Saccharomyces cerevisiae S288C: one gene and its partners. The gene in region 2 interacts genetically with the main gene of each other region. Each region holds a gene or a part of one and is shown on either strand. Other genes may lie near its edges. The genes, in order: KAR9, NDL1 and ABD1.

Region 1 (7,804 bases), on a different chromosome or scaffold from region 2:
AATCCTTGTACCCTTATCGATTGAGATGGGCATTGTCGGCTCGTCATCGGTATGAAACTCCACTTTAACAAAGGAATTGGTGTTATTTCTGCTTGGCGATGTATCATTCAATCTGGGCAATAACTGTGTAGATAAAATTCGAATTTTAACAGTAACAGGATCACTACCATTTTCAAAATGTTCGTAAATTAATGGAATCATTTTCGCCTTTGTTACTACAGGTAGCAACTTTTTTGGTTTTAGCACGTATCCTGATTTAAAACTTCCATCAGGTTGGTGATCTAATATTTGAAACATTGCCAGATTAAGTTGCTGTCCAATATCATTAGTTTGCCAATTCGTAGCCACCATTTGTACACCGGCCTTCCAAAAAGGTATTGGGTTAAAATTTGATGATTTGTATCGTAAAACGTGAGGATAGACTCTCATCAAATATCTTCTATTATGTTTATCCAACGATAATTTTAAGTGTTTGTCTTTTATCATGTATTCTACTTTGCGCTCATTCAGTGAAAAACAATGCGCTATCGTTTTGGACTCTGGTAAAGAGAAATTCCTGAACTTGATGCCATGTATTCCAGAAATGTTAGAAACATCATTAATTATATCAGCGTGCTTTTTTAATCCAATTCTTTTGATGCGTTGCATACTAGAAGAATTTGTTGCGCTACTACTGTTCGTGGAGTCATCTTTCATTCTTAATTCCTGTTCATTAGCTGATTCGTAAGAAGAACTAAAAGAAGATGGAAATGGCTCATTAACGCTAAGACCTCTAGTTGCTTCACTCGTCTTCTTGGATTTCAACAGTATTTTATGTTTTAATTCCCTTGGTGATGGCAGTTTATCAGTTCTTGTGCCAACAAAGTACAGCTGTTCTGCTAAAACCTCTCTCATTATCAGGCTTGCCAATTTTTGATTATCCTTGTTACAGTTTATTTCCAGTGAAATAATCAAAGGATACGGAGACGTTATAAAAGCGTACTTCTTTATCACGCGTATAACTGTTTTTAAGGGAATAGCTGACGTTAAAAATCCATGGCATACCACTGGCCCATTTTCACCATCCCATATATCAATTTCTACGCACCTACAACCTTGTTGTAGGACTTGAATATATCCCTCCACAGATGGAGTTTCTGCAATTTGTTTCCCCAATAAATAAGTATTATGTGAAGATGCAATAAAATAATGGTTTAATGGCTTTGAATATAACTCCTCTTTAACCTCCACCAAATATGGTTGCTCCTTCAAGAACTTGGTAAAACCATCTTGCCCCATCGTCAGCTGAGTCGGTTCTCTGTACTTAATAAAATATGACCATGCAGTTTGACGATCCACTTGCTCATGCTGCTCTGTAATTAAAAATTGAAAAAAATTTTCAAATGATAAGTGGGAGTGTGGAGGTTTTGTAAATTTAGACCAAATCATATTTACCTCTTTCCTATTCTTTAAGATTTTAATGAACTTTTCAAATTCAAAATAATTTAATAGTCCGTTATGATTGATGTCTGCTAATTGGAAAAACTCTAACAATTGACCAGTTGACACATAAATATGAAATTTATCACATAGTTTCTTCACATCTGCAAAGCTCAATGTGTCCTTTTTCTCATCTTCCTCTTTTTCAGAAACAGTAATTTGCCAATGTATCCTAGCGAATTGCGAATTATCAGGCAAAAGTATGCTTTCCATTAATTCCCTCCTTAACTTCACTAAACCGCAAATGCAGCTTAAGAATGTGTTAAAGTCCAATTCATTCAAAGCAACTACGTGTAACGCTTTCAATTTGTTGGAAACCTTATAAATAATAGCAATCCAAAGTTTACTGTCCGATCTCAATCTTTTCGGATCTACTTCCTCTTGATAAGTACTCGCCGTATCACCGATTCTGATGTCTTTAACGGAGTCTAATTCCAGATACTTCGAACCATCTTTCCATATTATTTGCCCGTTGTTATTGATTAATTTAAATTCATAGAACTTCCTTCTTCTTCTTGTCATCCTAATCATCCTGATTCCTCTTTGCAATACGCGACATAGCGTGCTGAGATCACAGTCTTTTCTTAATTTCTTGTTAACAAGCTCATTTATCCCATGTGAATAAGTAAGAGGCCCCATATGGACTCTAGGCAATTCGGCTGCTCTTCTAAAAATCGACCTTATGCTTCTTCTCACAGTACTTCCATTGTTCGCGCTTTTTTGGTCAGTATTAAAAGAGGATTGAAAAGAACTGTAACTTATAAAATCTAAAGCATCATCCTTTTGTGTTATTTTCCCTTGATCTCTGCATGAGTGTCGTTGTAACTCCTTTGTAAGATTAAACCTTTGGTCATCTATAGCACTTTCAGTCATTCATATACACTGCGTGAATGACCTTACCGTTGTACGTTTATAATTCCCAGTCTTTTATTGTTTTAATGACCTGAGGCTGCTTATGTCGTGATGCTTATACTATTTTTTTTATAAAGCGTCGGGTAAAGGTGTCAAAAACTGTAAAATGAAAACGTGCGGAATCTTCATGGACTATTTAAAATTACACATAATATTACATTATTTAAACTAGTATTACAAATTCTATGAATGGAGAGGGTGAGAGGGAGGATATATAAAAATGTATAAGTATACAGTTTTAGGTTAGTATCAATAAGTTGGGGTTTTATCTAAACGCCCTTCTCTTGGTGAAAGTAACTGTGATAAGGGGGTGGGAGGCCTCAATCGGGTTCTTCTTCTTGTCGAAGGGACCCAAACTTGACTATTAGGTGTCGTGATTTTTGTTGGCGGAGTCTGGAAAACCTTTGCTATCGGTGTGTTTTCTACGGTGACTTTCACCACTTTATCCTTGTATATAGGGATCCTAGAGGGCAAGGACCGGTAATGATTCCATTTATCTTTTTCGATGTCAAGCACAGACTTATTCTTTGCCATCAAAGGAGTTTCTGTAATCTGTACTTTATTTTCATGCCGAGATGTAATGAAGGAGTCTGGTGACTTTTCATTTTCCCCACGAGAAACACGGAGGGTGGTTTCATCGGTTTCGTCATAAGGTAAGGGAGGAACACTACTTAGTATCAGTTTTCCTTTGTTTGGCGACTCCGGATCAAAAAATGGATTAATCGCATTTGATGAATTTGGGCTTGTTGCAGGTTTAATATTCATCTTCTGCAGTAACGCTTTACCAAGCTTTTTACCTTTCAAAGCCACTGTAGTTGAATTTTCCGGTGTTTTATTACTGTCACCTTCATTAATGGCGACTCTCTCCTGGAAATCCTGGGTTATAGTTCCAATAACACTATTCGGTCGCCCAAAGCCTAATGATTTCGGTTTTGGAATCTTCTTCTTGCTAGTAGCTATTTTGTTTGAAGCGGAGGATTTGATTAGAATTTTATCCGCTGTAGGCTTGATATTCAGCCATCTTTGAGCTAATTCATTTGTCTTCGATGCGACGCCAGCGTCCAAAAGTGAGAATTCCAATGCTCTGTAAATAATATTGAATGTCTTAGAAACAGTTTTTGATTTTCTCTCCAATTGCCTCTCGAGCCTTATAGTGATATCTTTGGTATACTTTGTTGTCAGTAATTTCGACTGCAACCTTTCTATCTCATCAAGAATGTATAATAGTTCATGATTTAAATTAATAAAGAGTATATTCCAACGTTTGTCGATTAGTTCGACTTTCAATTCCCTAAACTCTGAATTCATAAATCTATAATCTTTCATTATCAGCTCGTATTTTTTTTGCAAGATTGTTTGCAAAGTAGTTATGTTTGTTATATTCCGGTGCCCAAATTGCACAATTCTTTGAGGTAGGATATCAGTCAAACTTTTTTCAATTGGAGGGATATTTTTTTTTAGGTTCAAGAACTTTCTTGATAAAATATCTTCTGCCGGAGAAAATTTTGGTACCTTTGGCTCAGTTGTCTCCGTATGCGTTCCTAATAACTTGACTAGTTGTTCTAGGGTAAATGATGGAGTATGCCGTATCGGGGACGCGAACCTTTCTTCCTGAATTTCCAGACAATACGATATATTGCTATTAATGATTTTATGTAATGTATCCATATGATCCTTTGAAATTTCGTTAAATTCCAATGACGTATCCAATAATTCCTTCAAGTTAGTAAGCCATGGCTCCAACTGAGTCTTAATTTGTGTAGATTCTTCTATGACGTCAAACATCGGGCTAAATCGATTGTATTTGTCGCTATCCTGATCGTCCTTCGAGAATTCATCCTCTAGTAAATCCAACAAATGAGCAAAACCTTCCTCAATATTATGAACGTCACTAATAAATTGATATAGCATATATTTTTTCAATAATAACCAGTCCATAAACAACAAAATATCGTCTTTTCCCAGTCTTTTCTTGTTGACTAAGTCGGGAATTACCGAGGCAACGTTCTCCAAATCATCATAAAATTGAACTAACAATGTCTCTGATATACTTGTGGTACTCTCATTCAATGAGTTGCAATCGTTTATTGAATGTAATGTATTGTGAATTCTTTCTAAACGTTCACAAAAGTTCTCTTGGAAGTCATCCCCAATGGTCATAGATCTGGGTCCATCATTATCCATGGCAGTGCTACTGAAATCTTTAAGGCTGTTACAGACAAAGATTCGTGCGGCCACATTACACTTTGTTATTGTTTCAATGTTATTTGTTTATGCTACCAAAAGTATCGATTCGGGTAATGAAAATCCTTTTTATTTGGCATTTAACAGTATTATATATAGTATATATTTAAATGTGCGAGATAAGAATGGGTATATGCGATGCGGATGACTCACGGTTGTGGTGTGATCTTAATTGGATTAGCCTCCTTTGCCGCGTCTTTCAGGAGATGTTCGACAGATTTTTCAATATCATCTGAATTATTGTCTTTCGTCTCTGGAGACTGGTTATTGCTGTCGTTATCATGATTATTATCATTATCGTCATTATCGTCCTTTTTCTGGTCATCATGCTCCTTACTCTCATTCAAATCTTCCTTTTCGATGACCTTCTCTATTTGCAGTTGTTGGTCAGATGGCCCAGGAGCCGCTTTCTCATTAAGTAATTGCGATAAAGCACTTGTTGGATTCGCATACAATTCTTTGAATTTGCCCATTTCTACCACTGATCCATCATGGCCAAGGACAATAACATTCTCTGATCTTCTGATCGTACTTAGCCTGTGCGCGATGCTAACAATAGTCATCGATTTTGATTTCATTAGTTGACCAAACGTATAGTTAATGGCTCCTTCACTTTCAACATCTAAAGCTGATGTAGCTTCATCAAGAATCAAAATAGTTGGCTTTTTGATTAGAGCCCTTGCAATCGCAATACGCTGCTTTTGTCCTCCACTTAGTAAGGTGCCGTGAGGACCAATTACCGTATCGTATGTGTTCGGAAATTTTGTGATAAAGTTATGGCAAAAGCACTGCTTTGCTACTGACCTGATTTCTTCCTTTGTTGGGGTATATGTCAACCCATAAGTGATATTATCCCTAATAGTACCTGACATCAGTACCGGCTCTTGCTGAACGATACCAATATGCCTTCTTAGGGATTTACAATTCAATTTAGAGATATCTTGGTTATCTATCGTAATAGTCCCAGTAGTGGGATTATAATATCTTAGCAGTAAGAGTGCAATTGTAGATTTACCACGACCTGAAGGGCCCACAATACAAACACTCGATCCTGGCGCAATTTTAAAATTTAAATTCTTGAATATTTGAACAGAAGGCCTTGTAGGGTAGCTAAATGAAACATCTTTAAATTCGATAACACCACGATCTGGTTTATACTTGTGTCCCACAGTCGGTGAAATGGAAGGTTTCCTATCTGTTAATTCAAACAACCTGGAAGCGGCCCCAGCACCCTGCATAATTTCCGAATAGAAGGTAGAAAGGCCGAATACCGCATTCCCCGTATATTCTGTGTACAGCATAAATGCAGTCAGATCACCAATGGAGAGCTGTGATTGTAAAACAAGATAGGAGCCATACGCAAGGACGGTTAAAAAACTTAGGTCACCTAAGAGACTAGTTGTAGTAAAAAACTTTGCGTTTGTAAATGCCGCAGTTTTTCCCACCTGAAAAATATCTCTAATTGCAACGTTATACCTAGACAATTCATTACCTTCAGCAACAAACGACTGAACCGTCTTGATACCAGAGAGTTGTTCTTCAGCGACTCTAGTCAATTGACCAGTAGCTTCTTGAAGGTCTTTAGAGGTGTTTCTAATTTGCTTCCCGAACACTGAGGCACTAAAAAGAACAGGTGGAGTGAAGAATAGTAACAATATTGATAGTTGAGGTGACAAAGAACACATCATCCCCACGCCAACAACCCCACAAATTAGGGCTTTGACCCCATCCGAGACCTTCTGGGTCATTGATCTTGAAACAACATAAGCATCAGATCCTAAACGAGAAATTAAATCCCCAACTTTATGGTTGTCGAAGAATTCTGCGTCTTGATGAAGCGTTTTTTTAATGACATTTGCCCTTAGGCGTGCAACAACACGCTCACTTAGTATCCTCAATAATATAAATCTACCAAAATTAGCAGCACAACCAATCAGTAAAGCAACAGTAAAAAAGGAAAGAAACTCATATAAAGGCAAAGAAAAAATCGGTATCTTCAAATCAAAAAAATCTGATCCAGATGACGTCTTAAGTGTGTCAAGGACAATACCTATGACTTTAGGAATAGACATGCCTATGGAACATGATATGGTTAAAAGAAGTATGGCTGTAAGAAGCAGTTTCCAATCCCGTTTCGCCAACATAAATAACCTTATTATATCTTTATAGTCATCAGTTTTAGATTGCTCCTTTGCATGTGCCGACCTTGCTGATCCTTTAGATATGGGAGAGGCTGAAGGCAGAGAAGTTTCTGGAACTGTTTTGGATGAATTACATCTAAAACTTTGTAAAATTAGTGATTTTCCAACTGCAGGTGACCTTAAACACAACCGACTGAGAGGAATGAGCTGCGATGAAGAAGGGGTGACCAAAGACCGAAACCTTATAGATGGCAGTTTAGCCAGTCGGGGACGGGACAGCATGTTTCTGCATATGCCCAGCCGCAAAAGTGGTAAACGACCATTCAACATTGCGATTGGCGATGATGGGACATATATTTCTTTTTCTTTTAATGCAATGATACAAACTTTATACCACTCTTCGAAGCGGCCAGTATTCAATATCATTGTAGTCATTATTAGTTTCCCGTATAAAAGTACGTAAGTTTTCATACACAGTTGCTAGAATATTTAAAATGTATATCAGCGAGTAAAAAAAGAGCTGCAGTTCCCAGGAAGCGTTAAACTATTTTGTTATTGGAGTGGGTTCAGAAGCTGCAGTGCCATTTTTATATTGGGTATAAAAAGCATCTGTTTGCGATCTGTTAAGAACACTAGCGGTTTGTAATTCAGTTTTCAATGAAGAACGGATAGCCTGAGCGGCCACATTCAAATATGCAGCATATGATATACCAGCTTTCCTCCAGGCAGACATTTTATGAATCGGTTGTGGGCTGAAACTGTTGATGTTTCTTAGAAATACATATCTTGCTAAGTACTCAATAGAAAGGCCTACTTGTATCTCTTCATTTAACTAGACGAAAAAGGGGAGGATCAAATTTCATTGGTTCGTATAAAAGTATTAAAAAATAAGCGCGTTGCCAGACTTAGTGTGAGATAGTAAGCTAGTAAATCATCTGCTATTACCTAGTTTAGCGTATTTCCTAATAAGGATTACCAATTCCTCAAGTTCATGGCTTGGTAAGATACAGCTATAGCTTTCTTAGTTT
Region 2 (6,523 bases):
TGCAATATTTTGGAACACTTACTTATCTTATAAAAACTCAAAGGTTATGGAGAAAGACAAGGTACCTGTTCATTATCCACCCGTGGTCGAATAACTGGATAAGAAATCCTGATTTTGAAAATATTTGGAATTCAACTAGCATATTTATCAGACCTTGTTCCTTGGGGTACTGGAACAGCATATACCTAATAGACTTTCGGCAGAGAGCAGACCAACTTCATAAATATTTGAGTCACCAAAGTTGGCTAGCAATCTGCTTTTCCTTTACAGATGTGCTTGGTCAGGAACAATTTATTTAATTACATTCGTACTTCTTTTATAGAGGAAATAGTAGCTAACATTTCACTATTGCGGTCATGCCTGTTGTTCTTCAGCTACCGTTTATGCAAAGGTGTTTAATTAGGTGTGAGACTTAAGTGGGCCTTTTAGTACCACTGTGGGTTCTGGACCTTTATATAATATTTCATTTTTTCAAAGGTTTTTTCATATGCCGTTAAAAGAGGTCAAAACATAGACCCGAGGAACATATCTTGTAAATCGCTGCGTTATGTATGCATATTGTACTCCTACCTTCGTAACTGGAAAGAATCAGTCTGAAAGTTTATTGAGCCTGAAACGGAGCAAGATTATAGTTGAATGTTTCTTATTCGGTGTTGATAGTAGATGATGACCAAAGCTTTTTTTAACAAACTACCGTTTGAGGTATTCCGTCGGTACGTTAGGACAGGTAAAAGCATCCCTCAAAGAAGCCCCAGGACAAGAAAATCTCTTCTGGTGGGTGGGACTATTGCATCAGCAGTAGTTTTGTACAACTTTAATGACACTTTTCATGATTCTGTAAAGCACACGGCACTGACGACTAAAAGAATCGCTGTCGTCACACAAGCTACCACTCGTTGCTTCTACCATTACAAGAGGGCTCTAAATAAAAGCTATGAGAACAAAAAAGAACGAGAAGTTGCCTTAAATAAATGTCATAAGATGTGTGCCTTAATCACGTTGCATGCGCTACGATCGAATGGTGGGATATATATCAAATTAGGCCAGCACATTGGGGCCATGACCTACCTGTTGCCTAAAGAATGGACGGATACAATGATACCGTTGCAAGACCACTGTCCCGAATCCACCTACGAAGAAATTGATGAGTTATTTAAAGAAGATCTAGGCACCAGCATTGAGGATATGTTTTTAGAATTCAACAAAACCCCGATAGGTGTAGCTTCCTTGGCACAGGTTCATGTGGCAAAACTAAAAAATAGTGACGGTAAAGGTTCTAGTGTAGCTGTCAAATGTCAGCATCCATCGTTGAAGGAGTTTATACCATTAGATGTTATGCTGACAAGAACAGTGTTTGAACTGCTGGATGTCTTCTTCCCTGATTATCCGTTAACGTGGCTTGGTGATGAGCTTCAGTCTTCAATCTACGTGGAACTGAATTTTACCAAAGAAGCTGAAAATGCAGAAAAAACCCGTCATTATTTTAGTAAGTTCAAGAAGCAAACAGCATTGAAAATACCCAAGGTCATTGAAAGCCACAAAAGAATTTTGATTATGGAATATGTTGGAGGCAAAAGGTTGGATGATTTGGAGTACATTGACAGTCACGGTATCTCGCGCAGTGAAGTTTCGAGTTGTCTCTCTCATATTTTCAATAACATGATTTTTACTCCCAATGTAGGTATTCATTGTGATCCTCATGGAGGAAATCTGGCCATACGATCTGTTAAGCCCGCTAAAGATAATGGATACCATAACTTTGAAATTGTTTTATTTGACCACGGACTCTATAGATATCCTAGCACGAGAACAAGAAGACTTTATGCCAAATTTTGGTTGTCGCTCCTATTCGACAAGGACCAGACAAAAATGAAGAAGTATGCCAAAGGATTCGCAAACATCACCGACGAACAGTTTCCCCTTTTAGCGGCTGCAATTACGGGCCGTAGCATTGATGCTGCTTTGAATTACGACATTTCAACGAGTCGAACACAAGAAGAAATGGACGTCATGGCAAATGGGATCTTGGAAGGAACGTTACTGAGCGACTTGATGAGCATTTTGTCTAGAATCCCTCGTGTAGTGCTTTTGATATTGAAGACTAACGACCTAACCAGACATCTTGATGAATGTCTACAGAATCCACTCGGGCCAGAGAGGACTTTCCTGATCATGACGCAATACTGCGCCAAGACGGTCTACGACGAAAAAGTGGAAAGAATTAATTCGGAGTATGCGAGGTGGTCTATTAAATGGATGTGGGAGAACTTGACAAACTGGATAGTCTATGAGAGGCGTATTAATCAATTGTATTTTTATGATTTTGTGTTGTGGTGGAAAAAATTTATTCCGAAGACTTGGTTGTCATCTTAAATCGTTAGCGTTCTTTCTACTTGTAAATATATACGTAAAATTATATATAACAATTTTATATGTGTCATTAAACGGAAGACGTTGTTGCTATCACAGTGGATTGTGTTATTTGGGTATTTGGAATATTACAGTGACTTCTTGCAGCGTTGTTAGTTTTTGCCATGTTCTGCAAGTACAAGGTTGAAGATGTGGTCGAGACTTTGATAGTATCCTTAAACAACTTCATTTTTTTATTTTGACTGGGTAACGACCTGGTGTTCCTTCTAGTCTCACCGCTAGTGGCTTCTTCTTTGCTGACTCTTAACTTTTGCAGCGCCTCTTTGGTGTCGAGTAACTCGTGTTCCAGTAGAACGTTGCGTTCCAGTCGTCGGTCACTCTCCAATTGTAATGTCTCTATCTTATTCCTCAGTTGGATATTTTCATTTTCCAACTCATCTACCTGTATCTCTAAATCTGTTATCTGTTTCTTATTGCACTTATTTTGTTGTTGGCTCTCAAGAAGATCGCTTTTTAACTTTGATATTACTTGTTCCAAATCATTTTCATATTCTTTCGTGGCGCCTTCAAGCTCGCTCAACTGGGTCTCCAGTGAGGAGATTATCTGTATAGCTGTTTCCAAATCCAAATTCGGCACCATAGGAAAGTCGCAATTGTTGCACGTATATGTCCCTTGGATATTCCAATTAAATTTGCGAGGATTGTTCTTTCGGCCGTTCGTGGTTTGTTGTAGCCCTTATTATCCCTCTTTTTCATCCTTAATTGCAAATTTATGTATGAAAACTTTCATTTCTAATGTTATTAATTTTCCCGATTCTGCAAACTAATTGATAAAATAATTGATACTTGCCGTCACAGATGATATAGAGAACGTTCAGTTTTTTTATTGTTCTATTGTAAAAAAAAAAAAAAAAGGAAGAAAAAAGCAAGATCCGATAGGAGAAGACCTCTTTAGCGGCTTTACTGCGCTACAAATAAGGTTACGAATATGCGGAATAGTTCATGATACGTTGTTGAGTTATAGTATGTAGCCAATATTTCCTGTTTTTCCGCTGTTACCCTTTTCGAAGGATCGATGAACGCTTCTGTCACTTAGTAAGCAAATGTACGAAACCCAGAGCATTGTATGTACACCAGCAGTCGTTTTTTGTAGCTCTTTTCCATGGATGGACGATGATGGCAAGACGCGATCGTGGCGGAGCCTCACTAAGAAAAACAATTGTGGAGAATCTATACACACAGAAATCGTACTTCAAGAAATATTGATTAGCGAGCCTTTAAGCACAGAACAATCTCTATAGCCAACATCTTGTGGAAGCTACAACTGTTTTTCTTGTTCCCGCTTGAGTAGGGCCTTACAAGGCAAGACCGTATAAAATAAAGATAACTCCTCCGCCGTATCCTGAATTTCGTGTGCCCTTTCTCTCTCTCTCTCTTCCTCTTTCTTCCTTTCCCTTTCCCTCTTCTTCTTATCTCAACAACCGCCCAGCGCATTAGCAAACCACAGTACGAGCTGTACGGCTGAGCCACTGCACCTGTCTGGCTTGCCCCTTTTTGTTGAGTAACCGGGTAATAATTCGGCTGTCTAAACGATACAATCCTCGTTCCACCCACACCCATTCACCCGTCGGGCGAAATCCACCCTCGCGGCCTCGTTTAGAATACCAGGCAACGGCACCAGCAACGGCCCCGGTAACTCGATCGCGTTCATATATATCGGATATACTCTTGAGGCACAATTTTTTTCGGTTTTCGGTTTTTTCTATTATTCTTCGAGATGCAAAGCACACATTTGAGACTCACAACTCAAGATACCGCAAGCACACAGACGCTATTGTTCTCCCAAAGAATAGGTTCCTGCAGTGCTCTTTTAAGGTTTGAAGATATTGCACAAAATTGTATCTGATTTCATCTCATCGAACCTCATTCCATCAACTTCCTTTTATCAAAGCATCTTGTTTTGTTTTCGCAGAAAATTTTTCTTCCCTTTCAATTTGGCCTTTTAGTTTTTCTCCAGTCGCAGGCAAGAAGGTAAGGAAATAGAAGAAAAAGAAAAAAAAAAAAAGGGAACAATAGGTTAGATGTCGAATACCCCTTATAATTCATCTGTGCCTTCCATTGCATCCATGACCCAGTCTTCGGTCTCAAGAAGTCCTAACATGCATACAGCAACTACGCCCGGTGCCAACACCAGCTCTAACTCTCCACCCTTGCACATGTCTTCAGATTCGTCCAAGATCAAGAGGAAGCGTAACAGAATTCCGCTCAGTTGCACCATTTGTCGGAAAAGGAAAGTCAAATGTGACAAACTCAGACCACACTGCCAGCAGTGCACTAAAACTGGGGTAGCCCATCTCTGCCACTACATGGAACAGACCTGGGCAGAAGAGGCAGAGAAAGAATTGCTGAAGGACAACGAATTAAAGAAGCTTAGGGAGCGCGTAAAATCTTTAGAAAAGACTCTTTCTAAGGTGCACTCTTCTCCTTCGTCTAACTCCTTGAAAAGTTACAACACTCCCGAGAGCAGCAACCTGTTTATGGGTAGCGATGAACACACCACCCTTGTTAATGCAAATACAGGCTCTGCTTCCTCTGCCTCGCATATGCATCAGCAACAACAGCAACAGCAGCAACAGGAACAACAACAAGACTTTTCCAGAAGTGCGAACGCCAACGCGAATTCCTCGTCCCTTTCTATCTCAAATAAATATGACAACGATGAGCTGGACTTAACTAAGGACTTTGATCTTTTGCATATCAAAAGTAACGGAACCATCCACTTAGGTGCCACCCACTGGTTGTCTATCATGAAAGGTGACCCGTACCTAAAACTTTTGTGGGGTCATATCTTCGCTATGAGGGAAAAGTTAAATGAATGGTACTACCAAAAAAATTCGTACTCTAAGCTGAAGTCAAGCAAATGTCCCATCAATCACGCGCAAGCGCCGCCTTCTGCCGCTGCCGCCGCTACCAGAAAATGTCCTGTTGATCACTCCGCGTTTTCGTCTGGCATGGTGGCCCCAAAGGAGGAGACTCCTCTTCCTAGGAAATGTCCAGTTGACCACACCATGTTCTCTTCGGGAATGATTCCTCCCAGAGAGGACACTTCGTCCCAGAAGAGGTGTCCCGTTGACCACACCATGTATTCCGCAGGAATGATGCCGCCCAAGGACGAGACACCTTCCCCATTTTCCACTAAAGCTATGATAGACCATAACAAGCATACAATGAATCCGCCTCAGTCAAAATGTCCTGTGGACCATAGAAACTATATGAAGGATTATCCCTCTGACATGGCAAATTCTTCTTCGAACCCGGCAAGTCGTTGCCCCATTGACCATTCAAGCATGAAAAATACAGCGGCCTTACCAGCTTCAACGCACAATACCATCCCACACCACCAACCACAGTCCGGATCTCATGCTCGTTCGCATCCCGCACAAAGCAGGAAACATGATTCCTACATGACAGAATCTGAAGTCCTCGCAACACTTTGTGAGATGTTGCCACCAAAGCGCGTCATCGCATTATTCATCGAGAAATTCTTCAAACATTTATACCCTGCCATTCCAATCTTAGATGAACAGAATTTCAAAAATCACGTGAATCAAATGCTTTCGTTGTCTTCGATGAATCCCACAGTTAACAACTTTGGTATGAGCATGCCATCTTCATCTACACTAGAGAACCAACCCATAACACAAATCAATCTTCCAAAACTTTCCGATTCTTGTAACTTAGGTATTCTGATAATAATCTTGAGATTGACATGGCTATCCATACCTTCTAATTCCTGCGAAGTCGACCTGGGAGAAGAAAGTGGCTCATTTTTAGTGCCCAACGAATCTAGCAATATGTCTGCATCTGCATTGACCTCGATGGCTAAAGAAGAATCACTTCTGCTAAAGCATGAGACACCGGTCGAGGCACTGGAGCTATGTCAAAAATACTTGATTAAATTCGATGAACTTTCTAGTATTTCCAATAACAACGTTAATTTAACCACGGTGCAGTTTGCCATTTTTTACAACTTCTATATGAAAAGTGCCTCTAATGATTTGACTACCTTGACAAATACCAACAACACTGGCATGGCCAATCCTGGTCACGATTCCGAGTCTCACCAGATCCTATTGTCCAATATTACTCAAAT
Region 3 (7,633 bases), on a different chromosome or scaffold from region 2:
GTTGCAGTAACTGCGGATTTTCCGAAGCAACTAAATGAATTAAAAACTCAGCAGAAAGCTTGGATGAAGATCAGAGACATGGCAGCAATAAAGGCTTTTGTCCAAGTTGGGACTGGTCCCTCCCTTATATGGGGAATTAGGAATGTTTTTATTGGTTCCGGGCTTGGAGGTATGAAACCAAACATTACTGTTGTCGGTTTTTTTGACCTCGAAAGTTATAGAAAGCACATCCCACAAAGTCGCAGCCAAAATAACCTTCAGAAACAGGTGGAAATAAAAGCTACAGTGCCACGTAGTACATGCTCTGATGTCAAAATCAATGTTCCATTGCCTACGGATGAGTGTAAAAATGAAACCAAAGTTAATGTACAACAATGGGTTCAAATTGTAGAAGATCTATCACTGATGCAATCCAATATTGCCATAGCGCATGGATTCAAAAATTTAGAGATACCGAACAAAAGGGACAGCTGCTTTCCAAAAAAAACTATAGATCTTTATCCCATCCAAATGTGCGGAAAAGTTGAGGCAAAGGGTGACCAGCCTGCGGCTATCACTACTAACTTTGATACGTATACACTGATTCTACAATTAGCTGCCATTTTGGTTACTGTTCCTGAATGGAAGCGCACACATTCGCTTCGAGTTATTTTATTTGTGGAACAAGAATATCATAGAACGAACGAAACTCAACGAATGAAAAAGCTATTACAGGTTCTAAGAATTGACGCAGAGGTTTTGGTAGTATCTTTAGATCAATTCAGAGTATACAACACAATTGTCAAGGGAGACCCAATCGTGTTTGATTATGTCAACTCGAAATTGGCCGATAATGAATGGTGGAAAGATTTGGTTGAAGCTCGTGATACATTAAAACCGAAGCGGAGGTTTTCCACTATTGAACCTCAAACGATAGCAAAGCAATTTACACAATCAAGAAAATATACGTCTGGGGTTCAGAAATTGGGTGTCTCATTTACAATGAATACGAGAATGCCAACTAACCGCATTGATACCCCATGCGAGAGTGAGGACTCCGATTTGGATACAGATCTTACGTCAATTCGTGATGCCTTCTCGGCATCGACTAATATTTCAGTAGGTAAGGACTTAACGACCAAATCGAAGACCGGTTCCGACAGAACAAATTTACTCGTAAAGAATTTACAAAGCGATGTGTCAACACAGTCGTTAAGACCCGTTTTCTCGAGTAATACTTTGCCGAGGACGAGAGTCGTGGAAGATGGCACGGGTGAACAGCCGACACTGATCCCAATTGCCGAACCTGACCTTTCGAATGGGAACGGTACTGGGAGCGGTATTGGCAACGGCAACAAATTAAAGAAACCGGTTCTTCCCGAATTATCACCTTGTTGTTCAAAAGATAGTTTAGTCACAGCGATGCAAAATTTAGGTTTCAATGATCTTCCCAGCACTGCTCAACATTTGGTTCTGAATGATGTGATGACACAAATGTCAAAGAGTTCGGATTTAATTTTTTCAACCTTGCCAGTTCCAGCTCTTGGAACACATGAAGATCACGATGCAAGTTTACAATATGTCGAGGACTTGGATATTTGGTTGGAGGGCTTACCTCCATGCATGTTAATCAATTCGCAAACCATGACAGTAACTACTGCATTATAGAATAACACATATATCGTTATGCATTTCCCCAGAACTTATTTACTACATATAGAAGTCTTGTAATACGGCCGAAATACAGATGCTTTATAGTAGGGTTATTGTTTCTATTCATTTTTATTTCAGTTGGGCTTTACGCTTTCCGGTTCGATATACTGTTTTACCTTACGGAATGCAAACATGGTATAGAAATATGATGCCGCTTCCTTTTCATCCCCTTCAACACCATATCTACCATCAGATCTTTGTAAACCTTCCCTCATTTTAGGCGAAAACCTCTCAATCCATTTGGGAATTTCTTGGACAAAAAATTTATTAAAAGGCATTTGCGATACTAGTTCCAAACCGTATTCATCAGCCAAACTTCTTAAGGTTTCGAATGGCACAACATATTCAGGAACATTATCTATAGCATCTTCTAGCCAATAAGTATACATTTGACCATAAGGCGATGTGAACTCATAATCATTCTTTTGGTATGAATTATTCTCAAATGTCACTTTATAAATGGAGTTTCCCCAAGATGGCTTTTCCACTTCTTTGGGAAATTTATTCAGTTTATAACGAATGAATTCTGAATCTGGTATCGTGCCAAAAAAGTGACCACCAATTTTGAGTGATTTGGCGACATTCAGTAAAGCTCTCCTTGCTTTTTCTTCGGTCTCAAAAGCATAATGCAAGCAAAATTGCGTCGAAACGATATCACACGGAAATCTACAGTCTGGGAAGGGCTCTACTGCAACACCTAATGATTCGCCAAAGCAATCCCCAGTAATTAGCACAACTTGGTAGTCCAAATTTCTCATGGACCGGTATCTCTTATGAGCTTCTTGGATAGAGGCATTGGAAATGTCAATACCAATAAACTGTGAAATACCTGCAGCACCATATTTTCTTAAATCACCACCTTTGCCACATCCGAGTTCTAAAACGACATCTCCAGGTTTTGTATATTTGTCAATTAACATATACTTAATCGCATTGTTAAAATTACGAAGCTTAATAATAGGCGATAGATTCCTCTTAGCGCGATTGGCGATTATTGTACGTTCATTATAGTGCTCTCGGACAATCTGGTCAACATTTATGGATCTATTTGCAGTCATCTCTATTTCATGTCTCTTTAGTTGCTCTTCTCTCAATTTTTGAGCACGCTGTTTGCGTAATCTTTCCTCTTGATCATACCTTTCATGTCTTCTCTTTTGGATTTTAAACCCGGATTCTGCCTCAATGGGTAGATCAGACACCTTAGAAGTAAGGATAGAGCTGCTTTGCAAAACTGGTAATGATCCATTACCATCACCAGGCGCATTGGCAGTAACTTTGGAGTCTTTTTTTGAGACTGTGGACGATTCATCACCAGTAATTGAGCCGTACTGACGGTCATAGTCTTCTTGTGACATCCATATTGGCTTCTCTGGTTTGGTTGACATTCTACTTTTCTAAGACGGATAATGGACGACTCCACGTTGTAGTAGTTGTCACATTAATCGGAAAAGTGTCTCACATGTAAAGGATTAAAATAAGAAATCTTCTAATTTATGTTGAAATATCTTGATTTACCATTACCCGGATTAGATGAAACTAATTAAAGTCATTTAGAGCAATGGACCAAACTAAAGGTATTAGAGTTCTTTCTAATATAATACAGCGCCAAATAATTCGAGAAGGGAAATCATAACGCTGTTGCCTTGGGTTTATTTGAGGTATGGAAACTATTGATTCGAAGCAAAATATTAATAGGGAGTCTTTATTGGAGGAAAGGAGGAAAAAACTAGCAAAATGGAAACAAAAAAAAGCACAATTTGATGCTCAGAAAGAGCATCAAACTTCACGCAATGACATTGTTACTAACAGTTTAGAAGGTAAGCAGACTACTGAAAAGTTTACGGAAAGACAGGAACGTGTAAAAGAAGAGCTTCGGAAGAGAAAAAATGAATTTAGGAAATCTGACGAACCTGTATCGGTTAAGCCTTCGAAGAAAAAGTCGAAGAGAAGTAAGGTAAAGAAGAAAATATCCTTCGACTTCAGTGATGACGATGATTCTGAAATAGGAGTTTCTTTTAGATCGAAGGAGCACATTCAAAAAGCTCCAGAGCATGATAATGAAAAAGATCCACTGGATGAGTTTATGACGTCATTGAAGGAGGAGAAAATGAGTAATAGTAAAGGCATGTACGACAGAGGCGACATTCTTGATGTAGAGGATCAATTGTTTGAACTTGGAGGAACCGACGATGAGGATGTTGAAGATAATACGGATAATTCTAATATAGCGAAAATTGCTAAACTCAAAGCAAAAAAACGTGTAAAGCAAATTTATTACTCTCCAGAAGAGCTTGAGCCGTTCCAAAAAAATTTTTATATAGAATCTGAAACAGTTTCCTCGATGTCAGAGATGGAAGTTGAGGAGCTTAGACTTAGTCTGGATAATATCAAAATAAAGGGAACAGGTTGCCCCAAACCAGTCACAAAGTGGTCTCAACTGGGACTATCAACGGACACCATGGTTTTAATTACAGAAAAGTTGCACTTTGGCTCCTTAACGCCTATTCAATCCCAGGCTCTTCCCGCTATTATGTCAGGTCGTGATGTTATAGGAATATCAAAAACTGGCTCCGGCAAGACCATCTCCTATCTTTTACCATTGCTAAGACAAGTAAAAGCTCAACGGCCATTATCAAAACATGAAACAGGGCCCATGGGTTTAATTCTGGCTCCAACTAGAGAGCTAGCTTTACAAATACATGAAGAAGTTACTAAATTCACAGAAGCAGATACATCCATTAGATCAGTATGCTGTACAGGAGGTTCTGAAATGAAAAAGCAGATTACTGATCTTAAAAGAGGCACTGAGATTGTTGTTGCCACACCGGGACGATTTATTGATATATTAACACTAAATGATGGGAAATTACTTAGTACTAAAAGAATAACGTTCGTAGTAATGGATGAGGCAGACAGGCTGTTCGATTTAGGTTTTGAACCTCAAATAACGCAAATCATGAAAACTGTTCGACCGGATAAACAGTGTGTTCTATTTAGTGCAACTTTTCCGAACAAACTACGCAGTTTTGCCGTAAGAGTTTTGCATTCCCCAATATCTATTACGATTAATTCAAAGGGAATGGTTAATGAAAACGTAAAACAAAAGTTTAGAATATGCCATTCAGAAGATGAAAAATTTGACAATCTGGTGCAGCTTATCCATGAGCGCAGTGAATTTTTTGACGAGGTTCAAAGTGAAAATGACGGACAGTCAAGCGATGTTGAAGAAGTTGATGCTAAAGCCATTATATTTGTATCAAGTCAGAATATTTGCGACTTCATTTCAAAAAAGCTGTTAAATGCTGGAATTGTGACCTGTGCTATTCATGCAGGTAAGCCATATCAAGAAAGGCTTATGAACTTAGAAAAGTTCAAACGAGAAAAGAACAGTATTCTTCTCTGTACAGAGGTTCTCTCAAGAGGTTTAAATGTTCCCGAAGTGTCGTTGGTTATTATCTATAACGCCGTCAAAACTTTCGCGCAATATGTTCATACTACTGGAAGAACTGCCAGAGGTAGTCGCTCCGGTACTGCTATTACTCTTCTATTGCATGATGAACTGTCAGGTGCTTATATCTTGAGCAAGGCAATGCGCGATGAAGAAATAAAAGCTTTAGACCCTCTGCAAGCAAAAGAACTTCAGGAAATGAGTGCCAAGTTTGAATCCGGTATGAAAAAGGGTAAGTTTAGGTTGTCGAAAGGGTTCGGCGGCAAAGGACTGGAAAATATCAAAAGTAAAAGAGAGGAAGCTCAAAATAAAGATTTGGAGCTCAAAAAGAATGATAAGAGGAGCGATGACTTGGAAAAGAAAATCAGCAATCCACGCGAAGGGCATGACAGTGTGTCTGAGTCTTCTGCGCTTATTCCGAGACTCAATTATGAACTATTCAAAGAGTCTACAGACGGGTCGATCATCTTTTACGCCAAGGTTTATATTAATGATTTACCCCAGATTGTAAGATGGGAGGCTACAAAGAATACAACCTTATTATTTATCAAGCATGAAACCGGATGTAGTATTACTAACAAGGGTAAATTTTACCCTGAAGGGAAGGAACCAAAGAATGAAAACGATGAGCCTAAACTATACTTATTGATCGAAGGCCAAGATGAGAAAGACATACAATTAAGTATAGAATTGCTGGAGCAAAAAGTTAAAGAGGGGGTCGTAAAGGCTGCAAGCTTGTCTTTGAAGAGTACTAAATACTAGTTTTTAGAATTTAACTCACTCGTGGTGCTATATACTTTCGTAGTTAGTTCTGAAATTTTTAGGGTGGTAATTTAAAGCATATTCAATCATAATAAAAAAAAAAAAAGAGAATTATTAGGAAAAATAAAAACAAAATAATATATAATATATGATGTAGAAAAAAATCTTGAAATTTTTATCGATTCGAATAAAATGGAATTTAAAAAAGTGGGAAAGAAACAATGAGAATTCATAGGATATAATGAAAGGTAAATGCTTTAAAAAAAAATTAAGAGGGGAAAATAAAAGTAGAAAAGCAAATAAAAACAAAACATGGAATAAAAGTAACTTCAAAAAAATTTATCAAGAAAATGGTAGGCTTGAAGAATATAATAATAGTTTTTTAGTTGATTTGAGATGTGATATGACAAATAAAAAATAATGAAATAACGATAAAAATAAGGAAGGGAAAAACTGACAATCGAATAATAATATTAATAATGGTAAGTTTATCACATCAATTCATAGGGAATATAAATTTGAAATTGTTACTCTTCTTTCTTTTTTTGTTCTGTAGAGAAAGAAGGTGAAAAGTGAAGGATATTAACTTTAAACACACGTTGGCTTCAAATTATGTAATTCAGGAATAGGAATATCGTTAACGATTAAAGTTTGGAATTGGTTCAAAACTTCTTGCAAAACGGAATATTTGACAGCGGTCCCTGTTGTTAATCTGGCTAGTTGTCTGGAATCACGGCAATATGGAGAGTAACGTTTAACAATTTTCAAATACAAAACCATTCTGCCGTCAACTGGTATGGAAGAAGAAGCAGCCTCCGCAGCAAATTCATCAAATGCACCAGAAGCAGTTGCTGCTTGCAATGCTGGATGAGAGTAGAAGTCCATTGGATTTTGAGGATTGTTGAACAAATGCTCTGGTGCTGGAGTATCCATTGGAGTTAAGGATGGCGAAGGAGTTGCGGTTCTGCTTATTTGAGTGCTGTTCATGTTACTTTTCTTGGAATCTCTATCATTTTGGGTCCATGTTACAGTAGCATCTCTTAAGGCCGCCCAATCTGCGTTGGCAATAAATCTTTGACCAATTTCATCTGATTTGCGGATTAAATCCATCCATCTTTGGAGAATTTCTGCATTCGAAGCATCATCGACAGATCCCATAGACTTTAATAAGATTCTATAAGCGACTATTGTTTTTGGAATGTGGTACGCCTCGTAACTCTTATCGATGTATTCTAAAATACTGCGGTCATGCCAGACAGTGCATTTAGCCAAGATAATGTTAAAGAAAGGTTCATCTATATGCTTGATGTTGTTGTAAGTTTGAATAATATTTTGTAAAGTTTGAAAACCTTGCATCTTGTCCACAGCATAATTTTCAAAAAAAATGTCGAAAAAAGTGTCATTCAAAGATGAAGAAATACCGTGGTTGACGTTTCTACCATAATGTAAAGAAGACTTGTACCAGATTTGATAGATGTGGTTGAAATCACGGGTTTGGCTCCATATGTTTCTTAAAAAGGATTTCACGTAGGAAACTTGCAAGTCTATCTTGTATGGCATTTCATCATTTAAAGCCTTGTCAAAAAAGGTTTGAGCCACATTCAAGTCTTTACATTCACCAATGAAGGAAAGATGGGTTTCTATCAAATAACCGTATTTCATTTCGGTTGATTCTTGGCATAATTTTTGGAATAATTTGAGAGCCATGTCATTTTCACTAGCAGATAAAGA

What was found.
Region 1: of NDL1 (region 2) and KAR9, changing one enhances a phenotype caused by changing the other (phenotypic enhancement), as found in Saccharomyces cerevisiae (one study listed by BioGRID).
Region 3: mutations in NDL1 (region 2) and ABD1 together harm fitness more than expected from each alone (negative genetic interaction), as found in Saccharomyces cerevisiae (2 studies listed by BioGRID).

What each region holds. Positions count from the first base shown.
Region 1 is NC_001148.4:29,784-37,587, reverse strand, and holds KAR9 (Kar9p), read right to left. Parts: upstream 4,576-7,804; coding exon 2,641-4,575; downstream 1-2,640. Other genes in the region: PLC1 (phosphatidylinositol phospholipase C), read right to left, coding at 1-2,352; ATP-binding cassette permease MDL2, read right to left, coding at 4,785-7,106; ATP15 (F1F0 ATP synthase subunit epsilon), read right to left, coding at 7,321-7,509. UniProt on the Saccharomyces cerevisiae protein: Involved in karyogamy. Component of a cortical adaptor complex that orients cytoplasmic microtubules. It may be involved in anchoring cytoplasmic microtubules to the cell cortex.
Region 2 is NC_001144.5:641,964-648,486, forward strand, and holds NDL1 (Ndl1p), read right to left. Parts: upstream 3,011-6,523; coding exon 2,441-3,010; downstream 1-2,440. Other genes in the region: SYM1 (ethanol metabolism protein), read left to right, coding at 1-94; CQD2 (Cqd2p), read left to right, coding at 664-2,373; YLR255C (uncharacterized protein), read right to left, coding at 3,637-3,990; HAP1 (Hap1p), read left to right, coding at 4,452-6,523. UniProt on the Saccharomyces cerevisiae protein: Required for nuclear migration to the bud neck during cell division.
Region 3 is NC_001134.8:688,617-696,249, forward strand, and holds ABD1 (mRNA (guanine-N7)-methyltransferase), read right to left. Parts: upstream 3,078-7,633; coding exon 1,767-3,077; downstream 1-1,766. Other genes in the region: VHC1 (Vhc1p), read left to right, coding at 1-1,647; DEAD-box RNA helicase PRP5, read left to right, coding at 3,353-5,902; YBR238C (uncharacterized protein), read right to left, coding at 6,491-7,633. UniProt on the Saccharomyces cerevisiae protein: Responsible for methylating the 5'-cap structure of mRNAs.